Anolis sagrei: one gene and its partner. The protein of the gene in region 1 interacts with the protein of each later gene in a pairwise test. Links are inferred from orthologs where the notes say so. Each region holds a gene or a part of one and is shown in the gene's direction. Other genes may lie near its edges.

What was found.
Region 2: the proteins of USP19 (region 1) and SIAH2 interact in a two-hybrid assay, tested with the Homo sapiens proteins (2 studies listed by BioGRID). The link is inferred for Anolis sagrei from reciprocal best matches to the Homo sapiens genes USP19 and SIAH2.

Annotation. Positions count from the first base shown.
Region 1 is NC_090022.1:27,935,214-27,946,034, forward strand, and holds the start of USP19 (ubiquitin carboxyl-terminal hydrolase 19), read left to right. Parts: upstream 1-6,481; 5' UTR 6,482-6,505; exon of another isoform or gene 6,506-6,684; intron 6,685-10,821. UniProt on the Homo sapiens protein: Deubiquitinating enzyme that regulates the degradation of various proteins by removing ubiquitin moieties, thereby preventing their proteasomal degradation. Stabilizes RNF123, which promotes CDKN1B degradation and contributes to cell proliferation.
Region 2 is NC_090023.1:241,453,968-241,464,302, reverse strand, and holds the start of SIAH2 (E3 ubiquitin-protein ligase SIAH2), read left to right. Parts: upstream 1-6,300; 5' UTR 6,301-6,772; coding exon 6,773-7,279; intron 7,280-10,335. UniProt on the Homo sapiens protein: E3 ubiquitin-protein ligase that mediates ubiquitination and subsequent proteasomal degradation of target proteins.

The DNA of each region.
Region 1 (10,821 bases):
CTTTGACCCTCCAGGTGTTTTGGACTTCAACTCTCACAATTCCTAACAGCCGGTAGGCTGTTAGGAATTGTGGGAGTTGAAGTCCAAAACACCTGGAGGGCCAAAGTTTGCCCATACCTGCCTTACACCAAGGTGCCTTATACTAAATGCTTTCCAACTAGCACCCAGAGCAGGGGATATGGAAGCACTTGATATACCAAAGGAAAGGTTCCCATGCTATGTTCTGTTGTTTTTTTTCATATTATTTGAAACATCTTGAATTAAAAACATCCAGCTCCAAAGCAAGGAGAACAGTACCTAGAAGAGCAGGCGAGGGACCTAGCTACACACTACTGTGCCTTTTATGTAAGCGAATGTCCCAGCTAGAGTGGCTTTGTTATATTTGTGTGAGAATAAAGTGGCATTGCTCTCTGTGCCAAACTGCTATGTTTCTTGATTTGCGTGACTATTCTAAACTCTTGAATTGCAACTTATTCAAGGATCTCTAGAGCAAGAATAGAGCACATTAAACAATATTTATTTATTTGTAGTATTTATAACCTGCAGGGGACTCAGGGCGGATTACAATGCACATATACATGGCAAACACTCAATGCCATTTAGACATACAACATATATAGACAGACACAGAGGCAATTTAACATTCCAGTTTTTTCCAGCTTCATGATGGTATGCTTGGTTCCGGCCACAGGGGGAGCTGCCGCTTCACCATCCACTTGTGACACAGGATCCTTTGATGGAATACTTACTTCCTCATTCTTCTGCATGCTGCTGGAGGGTTTTATGGCATTGTAAATTAGTTAAATTAGCCTCCCTGCATAAAGTGGTACCTAAATTTTCTACTTGACAGATGCAACTGCCTTTCGGGCTGCATAGGTCAACAGCAAGCTAGACCATTAATGGTTGGGAGCTTACTCTGACCCGGACTGGCTTCGAACTCATGATCTCTTGGTCAGTGCAACTGGCTAGTAACTAGCTGCGCCACAACCCAGTCCTTATCGGATTAAAACCTGCACAACTCATTACCATTTGTTAAACCGCTGAGCTGCTGACCGAAAGGTCGGCAGTTCGAATCCGGAGAGCATGGGGAGCTCCCGCTGTTAGCCCCAGCTTCTGCCAACCTAGAAGTTCGAAAACATGCAAATGTGAGTAGATCACACATGACCTTGGAGGTGCCTATGGACAACGCCAGCTCTTTGGCTTAGAAATGGAGATGAGCACCATCCCCTAGAGTCAGACATGACTAGACTTAATGTCAGAGGAAACCTTTACCTTTACATATGCAAAAGAAACATTTTGGCCTTGGATTCCTAAATGTGGTTCAAAGTGTTACACATAGGATGAAACAGATAGACCAATGAGATAGGAAGGGGTTATGAGGCAGCAACAAAATAACATGATAAGAATCCTTTCTGGTCAGATGGGATTCTTGAAAGCCAACCCATAATAATAGAATCATAGAGTTGGAAGAAACCAAATGTGCCATCCAGTCCAACCCCCTGCCATGCATGAAAAGTATAATCAAAGCACCCCACGAAAAATGGCCATCCATCTTCTGTTTAAATCCTCCAAAGAAGTAGTTTCCACCACACTCCGAGGCAGTGAGTTTCACCACTGAACAGCACTTAACAGTCAGGAAGTTCTTCCTAATATTCAGGTGGAATCTTCTTTCTTGTCCTAGTTTCCAGGGCAGCAGAAAACAAGCCTGCTCCCTCTTCCTTATGACATCCTTTCACATATTTTATACATGGATATCCTGTCTTCTCTCAACCTCCTCTTCTGCAAGCTAAAAATACCCAGTTCTTTGAGCCACTTCTCATGGGTATTGATGGTCACCAGGCCTTTGATCGTTTTAGTCGCCCTCCTCTGAACACCTTCCAGCTTGTTGATATCTCTTTTCACCTATGGTGCCCAGAACTAGACACAGCACTCCAAATAAGGTCTAACTAAAGCAGAATATAGAGGCAACATAACTTCCCTTGATCTTGATGGAGCCCAAAATTCCCATTGGCTTTTTAAGTTGTTGCATCATACTGGGTCATGTTCAACTACGACTCCCAAGATCTTTTTCACTTGGACTGAAGTTGAGCCAGGCATCACCCATCCTGTATCTATGCATTTCCATTTTTTGCCACCGAAGTGTAATATCCTATGTTTCTTGAAATTCATTTGTTGTGGAGACTTTGTGTATTCCTACATGGCAGAATGGGGTTGGACTCAATGGCCTTTGGGGTGTCTTTTCTAAGTCTATGATTAGTTCTGATTTTTCCGAAGACCCGACTGCGAACCATGCGACTTCCACACTGGAGTTCACATTTCTTTTCTAAATTCTGGAATACCTGTGTTTGTTTATATATGTGCATAATGAGATATCATGGGAGATGGAAACCAAGTCTTAACACGAAATCAATTTGACTTCACAAGCACCTTGTACACATAACTCAAAGGCAATTTCTTATACAATATTTTTAATTACTTTGTGCATGAAAGTGCTTCAGTACACCAAAGCGAAGGTGTCTTTCTGGGTACATATTATACTGTAGACATAATGCCATGGCTCAAGACTATGGACTTTGGGGATTTGTAGTTTAGTGAAGTCCCCTTTGGCAGAGATGGCTAAAAACCTTGTAAAACTCCCAGGATCTGATAGCATTGAGCCAGGGCAGTTAAAGTGACTTCAAACTGCATTCATTCCACAGTGTACATGCATCTAGTGTGTCTTCATCTATATAGCTTCAGAATTTAGTTTAATCATATTGAGCAGGATTAGATGAGCCCACATGGCCATATAATCCGGTCCAATGTAGTTAAAATGCATTGTATAGTGGTGGAGATGGGGCCTGAGTACAGAAGCAGGCCATGTATGTATTTCACAGTATGACCCAGTGTTGAAATATACAAAGGCCCCTTCCACACAGTTGTACAAAATCCTACATTATCTGCTTTGAACTGGGTAATACGGCAGTGTGGACTCGAGGCAGGCCCTATATACGAGGATCCGATTCTAGGTTTTCTGCTTTAAGCCAGATTTTATATAATTAATTAATTAATTACGACATTTATATGTTGCCCTTCTCACCCTGAAGGGGAGACTCAGAGCGGCTTATACACACACACACACATACACACACACACACACACAATATTTTATATATTAGTATAGTACAATATCAGTATTATATATTACTATATCATACTATACCATTATATTGTAATATTATTAGTAATATTACATGTAATATAAAATATATATTTATAATATATTATTAGTAGTATTATATTGTATTACATCACATTATATTATATTATTAGCATAGCACAGGAGACAAGGTGGAACTGTCTTTTGGCCTCCTCTCTCTTCACTCTGGCCCAGAGCCGCAGTTGGTGCTGGGGGGAGGGACCCCCAACTGATGACATAAATGAGTCCGCACTTCCAGATAATCTGGAATGCACAGAAAACGTGGGATCAGATCCTGGGATATAGGGCCTGGTAGGAAAGCCCTTTCACACAGACACTGAATGCAGAATATTAAAGCAGAAAATCCGGGCTGTGGTGCAGCTAGTTAGTAGCCAGCTGCATTAAATCACTCCTGATTGAGAGGTCATGAGTTCGAAGCCAACCTGTGTCGGAGGGAGCTCCCGACCATTAATAGTCTAGCTTGCTGTTGACCTGTGCAGCCTGAAAGACAGTTGCATCTGTCAAGTAGGAAATTTAGGTACCGCTCTATGCGGGGAGACTAATTTACGACACCATAAAACCTTCCAGCAGCATGCAGAAGAATGAGGAAGTGCTCCATCAAGGACTCGGTGTCACAGGAGGTCGGAGAAGCGGCAGCCCCCCCCCCCCCCCCCGTGGCCAGAATCGAGCATAACCTCATGAAGCCGGAAAGCTGGAATGTTAAACTGCCTCTGTGTCTATCTATATATGTTGTATGTCTAATGGCACTGAATGCTTGCCATGTAGATGTGCATTGTAATCTGCCCCCAGTCCCCTGTGGGGTGAGAAGGGAGGAATATAGATACTGTAAATAAATAAATAAATAACAAATAAATAATAGAATCATAGAGTTGGAAGAGACCTCATGGGCCATCCAGTTCAACCCCCTGCCAAGAAGCAGGAAAATTGCATTCAAAGCACCCCTGAGCATCCAGCCTCTGTTTAAAAGCCTCAAAAGAAGGAGCCTCCATTACACTCTGGGGCAGAGAGTTCCATTGCTGAACAACTCTCACAGTCAGGAGGTTCTTCCTAATGTTCAGGTGGAATCTTCTTTCCTGTAGTTTGAAATCATTGTTCCGCATTCTAGTCTCCAGGGCAGCAGAAAACAAGCTTGCTCCATCCTCCCTAGGCCTTCCCCTCACGTATTTATACATGGCTATCGTATCTGTGCCGTCGCGCCTGCGGGCTATAACTCTTAGTGAAAGAGGCATGGACGTGGCATCTTTCCCCAGGGGATTGCTTCTTGCCCTCCTATAGGAAACTGGAACTCCCAAAGACCAAAACACAACAGATAACTCGAAATTGTATTCATTGTTCACAATGAGTTATCTTTCTCAGGCATAAGCTTGATGTTTCAACAGGGATAAAGGAAATATACTTTACAATCTCTGAAGTCCAAGGAGTTTGCAGCTGAGAAGCTTTTCCTGTTTCCTCTTTCCTCAATGGCTGTGAATATCGGAATAAACACAACCCCAGTCCAATGGCCTATGTTGAAGGGACAAGACCTTCCTCTGGTGCCAAAAGAACCGGTTTGAAGGCACTTGGGTCTCCTCAATGTTGTCCAGGACAATCTGGACATAAAGCATGAGTCCCAAGGGTAAAAAACCTTAGAATTGGTGCTGAGAGGTAATTTAATCAGGGGCTATTAGAGCCAAGTCTCTTACTCAAGTCCATCTGATAGAAACTCTGATGGCAGAATGAAAACAGGAGGAAGCACTCCCCTCCTCCAGGAAGAGGTGGAGCCAAACAATTGAGCTTGAGAAAGCAATTCAACAGATGCAAACAACACTGATTGACAGCTATAAATAAGCAATCAATCCAACTATACATAAGCAGGGTAAAAAGGCGGGATTAAGCATGATACAACAGTTTAAATCTTGCAACTAACAGTTCCACAGTTCTACAGGAGATACTGCGCCGTCACAGTATCTTCTTCCTGCCGTCTCTTCTTCAGGCTAAACATGCACAGCTCTTTAAGCTGCTCCTCATAGGGCTTGTTCTCCAGACCCTTGATCATTTGAGTCGCCCTCCTCTGGACACATTCCACATCAACATCTCAGAGAATCATAGAGTTGGAAGAGACCTCATAGACCATCCAGTCCAACCCCCTGCCAAGAAGCAGGAATATTGCATTCAAATCACCCCTGACAGATGGCCATCCAGCCTCTGTTTCAAAGCTTCCAAAGAAGGAGCCTCCACCACACTCCGGGGCAGAGAGTTCCACTGCTGAACGGCTCTCACAGTCAGGAAGTTCTTCCTTGTGTTCAGATGGAATTTCCTCTCTTGTAGTTTGAAGCCATTGTTCCGCGTCCTAGTCTCCAAGGAAGCAGAAAACAAGCTTGCTCCCTCCTCCCTGTGGCTTCCTCTCACATATATACCTGGCTATCATATCTCCAGAGCCTCCGGTGGCACAGTGGGTTAAAGCACTGAGATGCTGAGCTTGTTGATCGAAAGGTCACAGGTTCGATTCCGGGGAGCGGCGTGAGCTTCCGCTGTCAGCCCTAGCTTCTGCCAATCTAGCAGTTTGAAAACATGCAAATGTGAGTAGATCAATAGGTACCGCTCCGGCGGGAAGGTAACGGCGCTCCATGCAGTCATGCCGGCCACATGACCTTGGAGGTGTCTACGGACAACGCTGGCTCTTCGGCTTAGAAATGGAGATGAGCACCACACCACAGAGTCAGACATGACTGGACTTAATGTCAGGGGACTACCTTTACCTTTACCTATCATATCTCCTCTCAGCCTTCTCTTCTTCAGGCTAAACATGCCCAGGTCCTTAAGCCACTCCTCATAGAGTTTGTTCTCCAGACCCTTGATCATTTTAGTTGCCCTCCTCTGGACACATTCCACATCAACATCTCCCAGAATTGGGCACAGTATTCCAGATGTGGTCTAACCAAGGATAACTGGGTTATCTGTGGCCCTTTCCACAAGGCTGGATAAAATCCCACATTATCTCGCTTTGAACTGGGATATATGGCAGTGTGGGCTCAGATAACCCAGTTCAAAGCAGATATTGTGAGATTTTCTGCCTTGATATTCTGGGTGAGAGAGAGAGAGGCCTGCACGGTTTCGTGTTCCCACCCAGCCTACTTATATATTTAGAGCCTGGTTGCCATGGTTGCGCCGCGTGACGTCGCGGGCCCCGCGGAACCCCTCTCCTGCGCATGCGTGCTCCCTCACACAGAGACTCACCCCCCTCCCGTACCTCCCTCTCGATACTCTGCGTCCTCTACGCGCCGACGCGGTGTCACGTGGTGCCTGTAGCGGTGCCGGCTGCCGGAAGTACGTCACGAGCTGGGGCCTGCCTGCCTGGGCTCCCTCAGAGGCCGCCCGCTCGGAACTCTTTCGGTTCGAAACCAAACAAACCGCGGGGGTGGGCAGGCAGGCAGGCAGGCAGGAGGGCAGGCAGCCGGACGGGGCCTCTTGGGAGGGAAGGAGGAGGAGGAGGAGGGAGCCGGTCGGTGAGTGGCGCCGAGGGCGGAACCGAGTCCAGGGAAGGTGGGGCCTCGAGGGAGGGAGGCAGGGAGGGAAGGCCTCAAAAGAAACGCAATGGCCTTAACGAGGCGTCTCTAAGGCTACTCTCAGGAACCTTGCTGGCCTGAAAAGGCCCTCCTGAGGCGCTTTATGCAACAACGCAGGTCGTTTAATACAGGCCTGGGCAAACTTGGGCCCTCCAGTTGTTTTGGACTCCAACTCCCACAATTCCTAACAAACTCAGACTCTTTCTCTTCCCCCCTCTGCTGCTTAAAGGCTGTTAGGAATTGTGGGAGTTGGAGTCCAAAAAACCTGGATTGCCTAGGCCTGCGGTACCTGCCCTCTCCAATCATCAGAGACACAAGGTGGTGTACCGCCCTTGACTCTCTGCAAGGGCTTTTACTTTCTGCAGGGCCTTTTCTGTGGTGGCCCCTCAGCTATGGAATTCCCTCCCAAATGAAATTAGATCTGCCCCCTCCCTCCTGACCTTTAGGAAGCTGGCTGTGCAACAGTGCTTTTGCGGAATGATGTTTGAGGCCAGCAATCGACTATTGGTACTGATCACAATATATGGGCTGGACATACGGATTGAGTTGGACATGATTTTATATTGGTGAACGGCTTCTATGTAATTTTATGTAACCTATGTAATTTTTGGAGCCCCTGGTGGCGCAGTGGGTTAAAGCACTGAGCTGCTGAGCTTGTTGATCAAAAGGTCACAGGTTCGATTCTGGGGAGCGGTGTGAGCTTCCATTGTCAGCCCTAGCTTCTGCCAACCTAGCAGTTCGAAAACATGCAAATGTGAGTAGATCAATAGGTGCCGCTCTGGTGGGAAGGTAATGGCGCCCCATGCAGTCATGCCGGCCACATGACTTTGGAGGTGTCTATGGACAACGCCGGCTCTTCGGCTTAGAAATGGAGATGAGCACCACACCCCAGAGTCAGACATGACTGGACTTAATGTCAGGGGACAACCTTTACCTATGTAATTTTTATATCTAATTGATAATTTAATATTGTGTATTATGCCTAGATTCTCAGTGTTAGCATTGAATCCTTGCTGTTAGCCAGTCTGAGTCCCTCTGCAGAGGTAGAGAAGATCGTGATATAAAAGTTTTAAATAAATAATAATTTTAAATAATAAATAAAAGTGTTTCTACAAACTGGAGAAAAAATACGGATTGCATTCCAAAGGGGTCGACCCTGGTTTTCATTTGCACAGATATTATTATTATTATTATTATTATTTATATTTATTTATACCCCATTTTATCTCCCCAAAGTGGACTCAGAGTCCTCCCTCACAGCTGAATAAAATCCCACATTTTCTGCTTTGAACTGGAATATATGGTGGCGTAGACTCTGATAACCCAGATATTGTGGGATTTTCTGTCTTGAAATTCTGGGTTATAGGGCTATGTGGAAGGGCCCCTCAGATAGCTCCTTAGGTGCATTGAAGATTGTTGCTAAAAATGATCCTTCCATGTTAAAGAAAAAATTAGAACAGCATCTTGCTTAGCTGCTTCTCCATAAGAACATTTTCCCCTAATGTGTGAGAAGTGTATTGAGCCAGATACATCGCTTTGTGTTGTCGAAGACGTTCCTGGGTGGAATCACTGGGTTGCTGTGAGTTTTTCAGGGTGTATAGCCATGTTCCAGTGGCATTCTCTCCCGATGTTTCACCTGCATCGAGGCTACTATTCTATGTTACTATCCACATATAGTTCTCTGGAGCAAAGCTGTATCTCATTGGGCATAAAACTGAAGAGTTGTATTTCTGTTCTTTCCCAATAAGACTTTTTAAAAAACAGGCAGTAGAGGTTGCAGTGGCATATCTAATGCAGGCCAGTAGGTGAGAAGTCCGAAGAGATCCCATTGAACCGCAACCGAAACCAATGTTACAGCAGATTGTAATGATTTGGGTCATAGCAACTAAAAGAGGACTTGAAACTTTTGTTGAATTTGAATTGTCCTTCAGGTTAATAGGGTCTTTAATTTCCTATAAATTTTTTTTTCCAGATTGTATAATTTTTGTTTATCCTTGTGATACATTTGAGTTTAATGTTGGCCAGATTTGGTTTCCTAGGGGCAGTTAGTAATACTGTAGACTCTCAAGGCCCTTCCAGACAGGCCCTATATCCCAGGACCTGATCCCAGATTTTCTGTTTATCCCAAATTATCTGGCAGTAGGGACTCATATAATCCAGTTTAAAGCAGAAACCCTGGGATCAGGGCCTGTCTGGAAGGGCCCTGGAACTCAAGCAACCAGAACTCTCAAGCAACTGGCAAAAGGAATCAAAGAAATAATAACATTTAGAAAGCTTTTTGTATAATACAGTAAAATTGTGTTACATTAAGTTTGTCTTTGTCTTAATTTGCTTTTCATTACAGTATTCAATATTAATATTGAGGCAATAGAGATTTTATTTTAGTTAGGTCTATTTTTTAATAGTAACTCTCAAGCAACTAGAAACTATATTTATCCAGTATCTACCAATCCCCATAGTGCCAGTTAACTGAAAGTCTTTTGTAGTTATGCAATCTTTATTTGGAAGAAAGCCCTGTTGAATGTAGTGGGACTTATTTCCAAGTGGATAGGCACAGACTTTAACTGTTAGTGTTTATATAGTGCCTTACATCAACTGTGAGAAATTATTGAACAAATATGGTTGACTGGCTTGCATTCTAAAGTTGTCATGCATGAGGCTAAGGTTTTTGTGACATTAATATGCTGATTTTCTGAGCAGCTGGAAAACATTTCAAATATTGTTAGCTTTTTCCATTCTCATGCTGGTGTGTATTATGGAATTGGCATTGTGGTTGTGCTTCATTAATTTGTTTTGGACATATGATGACGCTATGAATTAGAGATCTCCAAGAGACTTGGTTATTAATTGCCCAGCTCTGGTCTTGCAGACTTAGAGCCCTGTCTTTCTTGATTGAGTCAACCCACCAGCAATTTGATTTGAGATGGGCCCTCCACATGTGCAGGTTTAATTTTTGTAGATGTGATTTTTTGCAGATTTCATTAAAACATTATCTCTAGGAATCTATTGGTCCTCCAAAAGTTGACAATTGAATAGCCCTGGAGGACCTAGAGATTCATAAAGATCTGTTCTCTCACATAAGAAAATTAGCGGGTTTTTTATTCACAGCTTTTGTATTAGGATATGTCCCTAACTCACATGGAAATGGAGTGCCTAGTGTACTACCTTCACTTTACCAAGCATTTACATCTTTTCTAGTGAGTCGTGTCATCTCGTGATGTGTCCAGAGTATAATAACCTTGGTTCAGTTATTTTCTGCCTTTAAGGGAGACTTCAAATTTGATTGCTTCTAAGACCTGCCTGTTTGTTTTGTTGGTGGTCCATGGTATTTGTAGAATTTCTCTAAATAAATGAATTGACATGAAAATAGGTACTTGATTCTCTTTTCTTAACATTATTTGTTTAAGTATTGGAGAATGTTTAGTTTTATTTGTGTTGTGATAATGACTCCTGCTCATTTTTATTTAATATTCATTGATTTAGGATTCTATTCCATTTGTTTTGGGATGATCAAACTAGCTTTTGAAAGGGAACCTGCTTTTCTATGCTTATTCATCCTTATTTTCCACTTGTTTTACTGCATACCTCAATTCTTCTGCCACATATTCTGCAGCTAGAGACAATTTGTTGAGTGGTTTAGAACAATCAGTGACTAAATGGATTAAGTTCTTTTTTCTTTTGCAACTCGAGAGGGCGGGCCTAAAACTCTTACATTAAAGAAGATGTTATTGCTGTTGTTATTATCTTTCTTAATATCCAACCATTCCCCCAAAACTGGCACTCAATGGAACATACAAATTAAAATTAGTACAATAATGCCTGTAGAGTATCCATAGACCCAGCATGGTGGTGAGATTTATATGATGGACTAGAGACCAGGGTTTGAATCCTCGTGAGTCACACACACTCAGCCGTAGCTCATCATTCCAACACAAGTGTCAGCGGGAATTTAATTTCCACACAAATCTGCCTCTTTCCTCTGCTGACTCCTTCAGCTCCTGACTGACCACCAGTTTAAATTCAGACTTAGACTTGTGGGATTATGTGCGGTGGATTCTGCAGTGTTGAGGAAGGAGA
Region 2 (10,335 bases), on another chromosome or scaffold:
GCATCTAAGCCAGACAAGGGTCAGCTTTGGCTCTCCGGGTGTTATGGACTTCAACTTTCACAATTCCTAACAACCTCAGGTCCTTTCCTTTTCTTCCTCAGCCGGTTTAAACTATAGAATTAATGCAGTTTGACACCACTTGAACGGCCATGGCTCATTGGTATAGATCTCCCTCGCCCTCCTTACCCTCCTCATCCTCATTCTGAGGGTCTGAGTCCCTCTACGAAGGTGAGAAGATCAAGATATAAAAGTTTTAAATAAATAAATAAATAATCTTCGCCTCCTGGGCCTCTTGCTGCGATGCTACTGGAAGACTATGTCTTTATGTTAAAGTTCCCCACAACTTTTCTGCTCACTTCGTTCTCCAAAAATGTCAGCTGCAAAGACCAAGGAAATTAAATACAATCCTGAGTTAAGAGATTTTTTGCCTCAAATGCCACGACTTTGTCGGTTTTGAGTGCAATGGAAGATGTTCTTGTGCTATTTACTGTTCTGCCTCAATCACTGGAACATCTGGCCTAAAAGCTCAGACCTAATGGAAAATGTGGTCCAATCCATTTGTTTTCTCATCTTCTCTTAACAAAACGCTCAACAGAAGAAAAGGGTTTTAGAACTAATGGAGACAAACAAACAGTTATCTTCTTCTGACTGGGGTGGTAAGTGTAGAGAGTTTTCATTTGGCCTTTTGAGCAAATGTTGTGACTTGGAAAGTATGGAGTGCTTTCTTATCAGCTGCCTTAATAACAGCAAGGACAACAGTCTACTTCTTATCGCTTACAGCAAAACAATCCAGAAGTAGATAGTCAGAGAAATACTCCATGCAGGTTTACTTGGAATCACACCAATAAGGAAATCATATCCAGATCTGAAGTTTGGACCCATATCTTACCAGAAATACAGTCAAATTTCTCCTTTGACTCAGCAAACCTATAAGCAAGGGGTACATCTACACTGACCACATATTGTGGATTGAAGGCAGTTCAAAAAACAGTTTAAATTACGCATAGTGCAAATGCAGATAGGAATGCATGTTAGACACCTTAAACCAGGATAAGCAAAATCAGGGACTAACCTAAAATAGGATCCATAATGTACATCAGCCAAAAAATCCAAACCCTGAATCTTCTATGGCAGGCATAGGCAGACTTCAGCCCTCCAGGTGTTTTGGTCTTCAACTCCCATAATTCTTAAAGGCTGGTAGGAATTGTGGGAGTTGAAGTCCAAAACACCTGGAGGGTCAAAGTTTGCCCATGCCTGTTCTACAGTAATGAAGCCATGGATCTTGGAAATGGGTCAGAAACTCTATTCTGCCTTGGTTAGACCACACTTGGACTACTGTGTCCAATTCTGGGCACCACAATGCAAGAGACCATCAGAAGCTCATGTTAGAAAGTAAGAAACTGTTGAGGCTTGTGCTTTATTTGAAAGTAAACTCTTACTAAAGAGAGCTGTATAAAGCAGCATAGTCTTTGAAGAAACTGTTAAAGATTATAAGTTCAAGATACAAACTCTCTGAAATGTTACTGAAGTATTTCACCCTTGACAAGAAATGTGCCTGTATCTTTAAATACATGAAGTTATCAGTAAACAAACCTTGTTATCTTTAAAAGAAGTCTGCTTGCATCATTGTCTGCTGAAAGCACCAAACAGAAACAAAATATCTACATGCCCAGTGATCATTCATAACCAAATAAGCTCTGCTCCCCTGATGGTCTGTGATCCTAACAGGTCATGATCCATTATCCCCAATATGTGCTGCTATTTGGAAATACATAATTCTCTCTCAACATGTTCTAGAAGATTCCTCAAGATATTCACCATTATATCCTACATGTGGGCAAACTTTTAAAAAAATAGCACATATAGTTATGACCTTTTCAATACGGAAATATCTGTGTAACCGGTTTGCTACTATTTGTTAATTATCATTGTTAAGCTACTTTTGACATTGTTTGTATTTTGAGTTCTTTTATCTCCCTAATTATTATCTCCCCACCCAAACATGCATGACCTTTGCAGCTTTCTTTGCATCCAAGGCCACATTCCTCACCTATGAGAATGAGTTTGAAGTCCATGAAACCATACACCAGATGAATTGCATTAGTGATTAAGGTTCACAGAGACCTCATTTTTGTTGCTTTTTAAATAATAACAATTATTGCTTTTAAATTTATGTCTGTACATACATCTCAGAATGCTGTGCAAATCTATGTTCTCTCTTTTTCTGTGGGGTGTTAAGTGGCCACATTGGGAGGAGATTATCTAGTGTCTTCTGTAGTAAAGGCACAAAGGTAGATCAGAATGGGAATTGTACAGCACTTGAGATGATTTTGAACTGTAATTTCCAAGAGTTCAAGTTCAAGTTCACTTTATTACAGTCATTACAGTCAGCTCATCAGAAGAGTTCAAACCAATAGTGTCAATGGAGACAAATACTATGTTTTACAGTCCAACAACATCTAGAGGGCCTCTTGACTCCCACGCCAAAATAAATCTATACCTGAGTTAGAGACAGGATACCCAATCTGCTGTTATTGTGTGCCTGAAATGTATTTCTGACTTATGGTGAACCTATCATGGATTTTTCTTGGCAAGGTTTGTTCAGAGGGAGTTTGCCTTTTTCCTTCTCTGGATGCATGTGTGACTTGACCAAAATCACCCAGTGAGTTTCCACTGAGCACAGATTTCAACCCTGGTTTACCAATGTTGTAGTCCAATGCTCAAGCTACTACACCTCATTGGTTGTCTTTCCATCTGTTACCTAGTCACAAAATACCATTTACATCAGGCATGGGCAAACTTCAGCCCTCCATGTGTTTTGGACTTCAACTCCCACAATTCCAAACAGCCTCAGGTCCTTTTCATTTAAATGGCTGAGGGGGGAAAGGAAGAGGTCTGAGGCTGTTAGGAATTGTAGGAGCTGAAGTCCAAAACACCTGGAGAGCCAAAGTTTGTCCTGATCTACATTCTATTCTTTGTGGAAGCTCAATCTAAAAGCCAGCAACCTATTTCTGAGTGGATCCAGAACAATTATTTCACATCCACTTAAACCACTGCTAACATGACTCACTTCTTCAGTAAGAATGGTTAAATGCACAGGAAAATGGGAAAATCAGAAAAGAGATATAACCTCAGCCAAGTCAAGTGTTGGGACACTCAGATTAATGCTGTTCATTCAACTGAATGCTTTTGCCTTCCAGATCTGTAAACACAATGGTCAGGTTTGAATTGGCCAAAGTTTCAAGCACTTTTTGAAACTTCAGCTCACAATGCTCCCAGCCAACAGGGTCACTTGGAGCTACAGTCCAAACAAATATCTTTTCCCAGAACTGACCCAGCTGTCACAAAAAAGTATCTCTGCAATAAATCAGAACCATTGCTGTCCCTGGATTGGTTTTGCTCTCATTCTGTTTACTTCCTGTTGGAGGAAAGAACATCAACAACATCTTGTGTAAGTATTGTATCATTTGTCAAATAACCATCAGAAATATTTTGGTGTCCCTGAATTTGCAGGTAACAGTTTCATGACAAGAAACTAAATAGTTTTACTGGTAATTGTTGCAAACTAAATTGATTTAACAGTGTGTATTCAAGATGCTACTGAAACAACTGGAAATCCTTTCACATTGAACTTAAATTTGCGCACTAAAATAATAGAGGATTGGCTGCTGAAGATGTACAACCTAGAGGAAATGCACAAACTGACAATTCTCATTATGGATGATACAACAGAGAAGTTTAAGCAAGATTGGCAACTGGTGCTTCATACCCAAGGGTGCATTTACACCGAAGATATAATGCATTTTGACAACACTTTGCCATGGCTCAATGCTATGGAACTATGGTAGTTGTAGTTTTAGAAGGTCTTTAGCTTTCTCTGCCCAAGAGTGCACTCTCAAACCACAACTCCCAGGACTCTGTAGCATTGATCCATGGCAGTTAACGTGCATTAATTCTACAGTGTTTTCTGCTGCACTAGAAATTACAGTGCAAAGTAGTGGAGTCCAACTATAAGAAGAGATTCCACCTAAACATTAGAAAGAATCTCTTGATGGTAAGAGCTGTTCAGTCATGGAATATGCTGCCTTGGAAAGTGGAGAGGTCTCCTTCTCTGGAACTTTGTAAATAGAGGCTGAAAGGCCACTATTGTTTATTTCTGCATAATAGAGTTGGACTGACTGGCCTTGCGGTCTTCTCAAACTCTGCGATTTTCCAGTTTCACCACTAACACAACTAGGTTGCAAGTCCCATCATTCTTAGCTATACTGGCAAAGAGTTGTACCTAAGCATCAATTGGGAATTGAGACTTGGGAATACTGTGTAAACAGAGTTCGGATAGTCATCTGTTGGGCTGTTGTAGGTTTTTCAGGCTATATGGCCATGTTCTAGAAGAAAAACTAAGGAGCAGGCCTAGTTTCCAACAGACCCCACAACCTCTGAGGATGCCTGTCATAGATACAGGCAAAATGTCAGGAGAGAATGCTTCTATTACATGCCTATATAGCCTGAAAAGACTACAACAACCCAGTGATTCCAGCCATGAAAGCCTTCGACAATACATTGAACATCTCTAAGGGGAGAAACTGTTCCAAGACACACAAAATTTGGAAAAACTAAGGAGCAGGCCTAGTTTCCAACAAACCTCACAACCTCTGAGGATGCCTGCCATAAATGTGGGTGAAACATCAGGAGAGAATGCTTCTAGAACATGGCCATACAGCCTGGAAAATCTACAACAACCAGTGATTCCAATCATGAAAGCCTTCGACAATACATTGAACATCTCTAGGAGGAGAAACTGTTCCAAGACACACGAAATTTGGAAAAACTAAGGATCAGGCCTAGTTTCAAACAGACATCACAACCTCTGAGAATGCGTGCCATAGATGCAGGTGAAACGTCAGAAGAAAATGCTTCTTTACATGGCCATATAGCCCGAAAAACCTACACACAACGGGTTAGGGTTTCACCATCAAAGAACTCTTACATTCCTTCTATATTATTTGTCTCCAACCTGGCTTACATTAGCTAAGTCTCTCTTGTCCAAACAGCGCTCCCAAAGGAGTGATGCGGCATCTCCGTAATGCTTGGAGCTTCCAGACCCAGCTATCATACTATTACAGTGGTTTTCAACCTGTGGGTCCCCAGATGTTTTTGGCCTACAACTCCCAGAAATCCCAGCCAGTTTACCAGCTGTTAGGATTTCTGGGAGTTGAAGACCAAAAACATCTGGGGACCCAGAGGCGGCCCTAAGTAATTTTCAACGGTAAGCAAACAGTATTTCCCCCCCCCCCCCAACCAATCATTGATATATATTTTCTGTTTGTCGTGGGAGTTCTGTGTGCCATATTTGGTTTAATTCCATCATTGGTGGAGTTCAGAATACTCTTTGATTGTAGGTGAACTATACATCCTAGTAACTACATTTGCTGCACTTGCTCCCTTGCCTGGCCCGCTTTGGGTCTGGAGGCATGCCCCGGCGTGTGCACCAAAAGTCACCTCTTCTCCTGACTTTCTCCTCAGCCATTGGGACCAAGAGAGAGAGAGAGACAGAGGTGGAGATGCCCACCTTTCCTGAAGGTAGGCGCAAAAACAAAGGAGGGAGCAGAGGTGGGAGATACCTCCAGCCGGAGGGTCTCTCTCTCTCTCTCTCTCTCTCTTGGTCCCAATGGCTGAAGAGAAAGTCAGGAGAAGAGGCGACTTTTGGTGCGCACACTGGGGTCTCAGACACGCCTCCGGACCCGAAGCGAGCCAGGCGCGGCGGCTCAGCCCCTTGGCCTACCCGCGGATTGGGGAGAGGAGAGGAGGTGGGTGGAGCGCCAGGGGATCGGGAAAGGGAGCCGGTCATGGGGAAGGGATCGAACACGGAGAACGATTGAGCGCCGGTTCTGCTCGCACACCCGGTGGCCAGGTGGAGAAGGAACGAGAGAGGCGAGGCTCAAGGGCCCGGCCCCTTTGAGAAGAGGATCGCCCGGCAGCGAGGCAAGAAAGCCGAGGCTCCCCCCGGACTGCTAGGGCTGTTGTGAGCTGAGGGGGCGCTCCTCAAGTGGTGGTGGAGGGGCATTTACAGAGGTGCCTCTGCGCCCCTGGCAAAAAAAAAAAGTGTTCTGCGACCGCTTACTTTGCGTAATGGACAAGCCGCCCCTGTGGAGACCTCAGGTTGAGAATCACTGTACTATTAGGAAGCGCTGACCTACAACATCCCAACAGTACAGCTGTTTGGGAAGCCTCTGGGCTGCAGGCAAGCAGGCAGGGAGGCAACTGGCCAGCAGGTGGCGCTCAAGGAAGCCGTATTATTGGGACTCCGCTGCGCCACCCGACTTCTAGAAGATCGCTCGCCTCTTCCCTCCTCGTTTCCTTCCCGGCGGCAAAGCAGGCGGTTCTTGCGACAGGGAAGGTGGCCGCTGCGTGCTTGTGGTTGCGCCTGGAGACAGGCAAGGATCGCGGGCGCAGTCTGGGGCGCGCTGGGTGGGTGGCTTCGACGCCGCCCCCTCTTTCCCTCCTTCACTGACGTCAGATCCAGGTTCCGGGGTGGGGAGAGAAGCCCAGAAGGAGCCACGCGCAGTGGGAAGGACCCTGCGCTCGGGCTGGACGGCGGGCTCTGCTCGGCACGGGGCTGCTGCGTCCTCTTTGGGAGCTTCCCATTTGACGGGTTGTTTTGGCAACATCTGGCTCGCTTTCCCCTCCCTCCCCCCGGAGCGCGCGCCTCGGGTTGCGTCCCCTTCCCTTCCCTTGCTTGCCTCGCGCCCTTCGATGGTTGGCTCCGGCCGAGATGAGCCGCCCGTCCTCCGCCGGACCCAGCGCTAGCAAAACCTGCGGCAAGCAGCAGCAGCCCCAGCAGCAGCCGCCGCCGCCACCACACGCTCCGGCTCCGTCTCCAGCAGCGGCTGCGGCGCCTCCCGCTACCAACAACGCTGCCGCCATCTCTGCGGCCGGAGGCGGCTCCTCCGCCCTGCCCAGCACCGCTGCCGGGCTCTCCAGCCCCGGAGCAGGAGGAGGGGGAGGCGGCGGCAGCGGGGAAGGCGGCGGAGGGGGCCCGGTGTCGTCGTCCTCCTCGTCCTCGTCCCCGCAGCACCACGAGCTGACCTCGCTCTTCGAGTGCCCCGTCTGCTTCGACTACGTGCTGCCGCCCATCCTGCAGTGCCAGGCCGGGCACCTGGTCTGCAACCAATGCCGGCAGAAGCTGAGCTGCTGCCCCACGTGCCGGGGGTCGCTCACCCCCAGCATCCGCAACCTGGCCATGGAGAAGGTGGCCTCGGCCGTCCTCTTCCCCTGCAAGGTAAGCCAGAGAGGGAGGGAGGAGGCGCTCTGACCACTTCGGGCACTTTCAGGCTCAGCAGGAGCCCAAAGCTGCGCCTATAGCAGACCTGGGCCAACTTGGGCCCTCCAGGTGTTTTGGACTCCAACTCCCACCATTCCCGACAGCCTCAGGCCCCTTCCTTCTCCCCCTCAGCCGCTTATGGGCAAACTTGGGCCCTCCAGGTGTTTTGGACTCCAATACCCACCTTTCCTAACAGCCTCAGGCCCCTTCCTAATAATAATAATAATAATAATGGGCCATCCAGGTGTTTTGGACTCTAACTCTCACCATTCCTAACAGCCTCAGCCCCATTCCTTCTCCTCCCCTAGCCACTTATGGGAAAACTTGGGCCCTCCAGGTGTTTTGGACACCAACTCCCACCATTCCCAACAGCCTCAGGCCCCTTCCTTCTCCCCCTCAGCTGCTTATGGGCCAACTTGGGACCTCCAGGTGTTTTGGACTCCAATACCCACCGTTCCTTACAGCCTCAGCCCCCTTCCTTCTCCCCCTCAGCCGCTTATGGGCCAACTTGGGCCCTCCAGGTGTTTTGGACTCCAATACCCACCGTTCCTAACAGCCTTAGGCCCCTTCCTTTCCCCTCTCAGCTGCTTATGGAAAACTTGGACCTTCCAGGTGTTTTGGACTCCAACTCCCACCATTCCTAACAGCCTCATGCCTCTTCCTTTCCCCTCTCAGCTGCTTATGGGAAAACTTGGGCTGTCCAGGTGTTTTGGACTCCAATACCCACCTTTCCTAACAGCCTCAGGCTCCTTCCTTCTCCCCCTCAGCCACTTATGGGCCAACTTGGGCCCTCCAGGTGTTTTGGACTCCAACTTCCACCATTCCTAACAGCCTCAGACCCCTTCCTTTTCCCCCTCAGCCGCTTAAGCGAGGATCAGTACTGCTCTTCTTGTGTCATCCTTTGAAAGGAAGAGCCAGGCAAATAGAGTGACTGTGTCCCTATATTGCAGGCATGGGCAAACTTGGGCCCTCCTGGTGTTTTGGACTTCCACACAGCACCCATAGCCTAGGCCTGCCATAGACTCATTATAACTTACCTGACTGAATCATTGGTTGATAGAGGTGATTGCTGTTTTCCAATCATTGTCTGTTGGATACAAATATGATCTCAATCCACAGAAGGTTCAACCTGTGGATGCAGAGGGCCAATTGCAAGTCCCACTGAATTCAGTAAGGCATAGAGTGCATCTACCCCAGGCTTGGGCAAACTTGGGCCCTCCAGGGGTTTTGGACTCCAACTCCCACCATTCCCAACAGCCTCAGGCCCCTTCTTTTTTCCCCTCAGCAGATTATGGGCAAACTTGGGCCCTCCAAGTATTTTGGACTCCAATTCCCACCTTTCCTAACAGCCTCAGCTCCCTTCCTTTTCCCCCTCAGCCACTTATGGGTGAACTTGGGCCCTCCAGCACAGGACCCCCACAAAAGTGGAGAAACAACACATTTTTTAAAATGCATTTTTTTCTGACAGAAGATTTCTCTGGGTCCTCCAGCCCAACTCCTGTACAACCACAGAATCACACTGGAGGATGTCTAAATGCCTAGAGAAGAGTTCCCTCTAGAAGAGACATGGGCAAACTTTAGCCCTCCATGTGTTTTGGACTCCAACTCCCACCATTCCTAACAGCCTCAGGCACCACTTAAGTGACTGAGGGGGGAAAGAAAAGGGTCAGAGGCTGTTAGAAATAGTGGGAGTTGGAGTCCAAAGCACCTGAAGGGCCCAAGTTGGCCCAGGCCTGATCTATCAGGTCTCTAGATCTAAGAAGTCATCCCCACCCCACTCTATGAACTTCCTCACCTGCGATGCTGTTTCATCACAATTCAAGAAAGATATAGATGGTCCCTGAGTTGCAAACATCCAACTCACCATTAAGAATGGGGGTGAAACAGTAGGAAGTGATCGAAATCTACCCCTAGGAAAGGCAAATCACTCCTGGTTGACTTATTATCATTGGGAAAAAATGTCTCCTCTCAAGCTTTATCACCAAGGAGCGCTGTGAATTTTCTGGGCTGTGTGGCCATGTTCCAGAAGCATTCTCTCCTGACATTCCATCCACATCTATGGCAGACATCCTTAGAGGTTGAGTGGTCTGTTGGAAACTAGGCAAGTGAGGTTTATATATCTGTGGAATAATGTCCAGGGTGAGAGAAAGAACTCTTGTCTGTTAGAAGCAAGTGTGAATGTTGCAATTGACCACCTTATTAACCTTGTAACGCCAAAGCCTGGCTGATTCCTGCCTGAGGGAATCCTTTGTTGGGAGGTGTTAGCTGGCCCTGATTTTTCTTGTCTGGAATTACCCTATTTATTGAGTGTTGCTCTCTATTTACTGTCCCTCTTTTAGAGGTTTGTTTTGATACTGATAGTCAGATTTTGTTCATTTTCATGGTTTCCTCCTTTCTGTTGAAATTGTCAACATGCTTGTGAATTTCAATGGCTTCTCTGTGTAGTCCGACATGGTGGTTGTTAGAGTGGTCCAGCAGTTCTGTGTTCTTAAATAATATGCTATTTCCAGGTTGATTCATCAAGTGCTCTGCCATGGCTAACTTCTCTGGTTGATTTAGTCTGCAGTGCCTTTCATGTTCCTTGATTTGTGTTTGGGCCTTCCACAGATATATAAACCTCACTTGCTTAGTATTCCAGCGAACCTCACACCCTCTGAGGATGCCTGCCATAGATGTGGGTGAAACGTCAGGAGAGAATGCTTCTGGAACATGACCATACAGCCTGAAAAATGCACAGCAACCAAGTGATTCCAGCCCTGAAAGCCTTCAACAACATATTTATCACCAATCCTTGTTTCCACAACAAGCCCAATTTTTCAAAATCCAGTTCTCACAGGGACAGAAAGCGAGGTGAAATCTTCTGAACAGGGTCATCAAGAGCAAAACAAACACCACAGGAATGTTAACCCTTCCCTATGCTAACCACAGCTATATATATATATATATATATATATATATATATATATATATTTGGCTGGACTTACACTCAAAAAGGTAAGTGTTTTGATTTACAT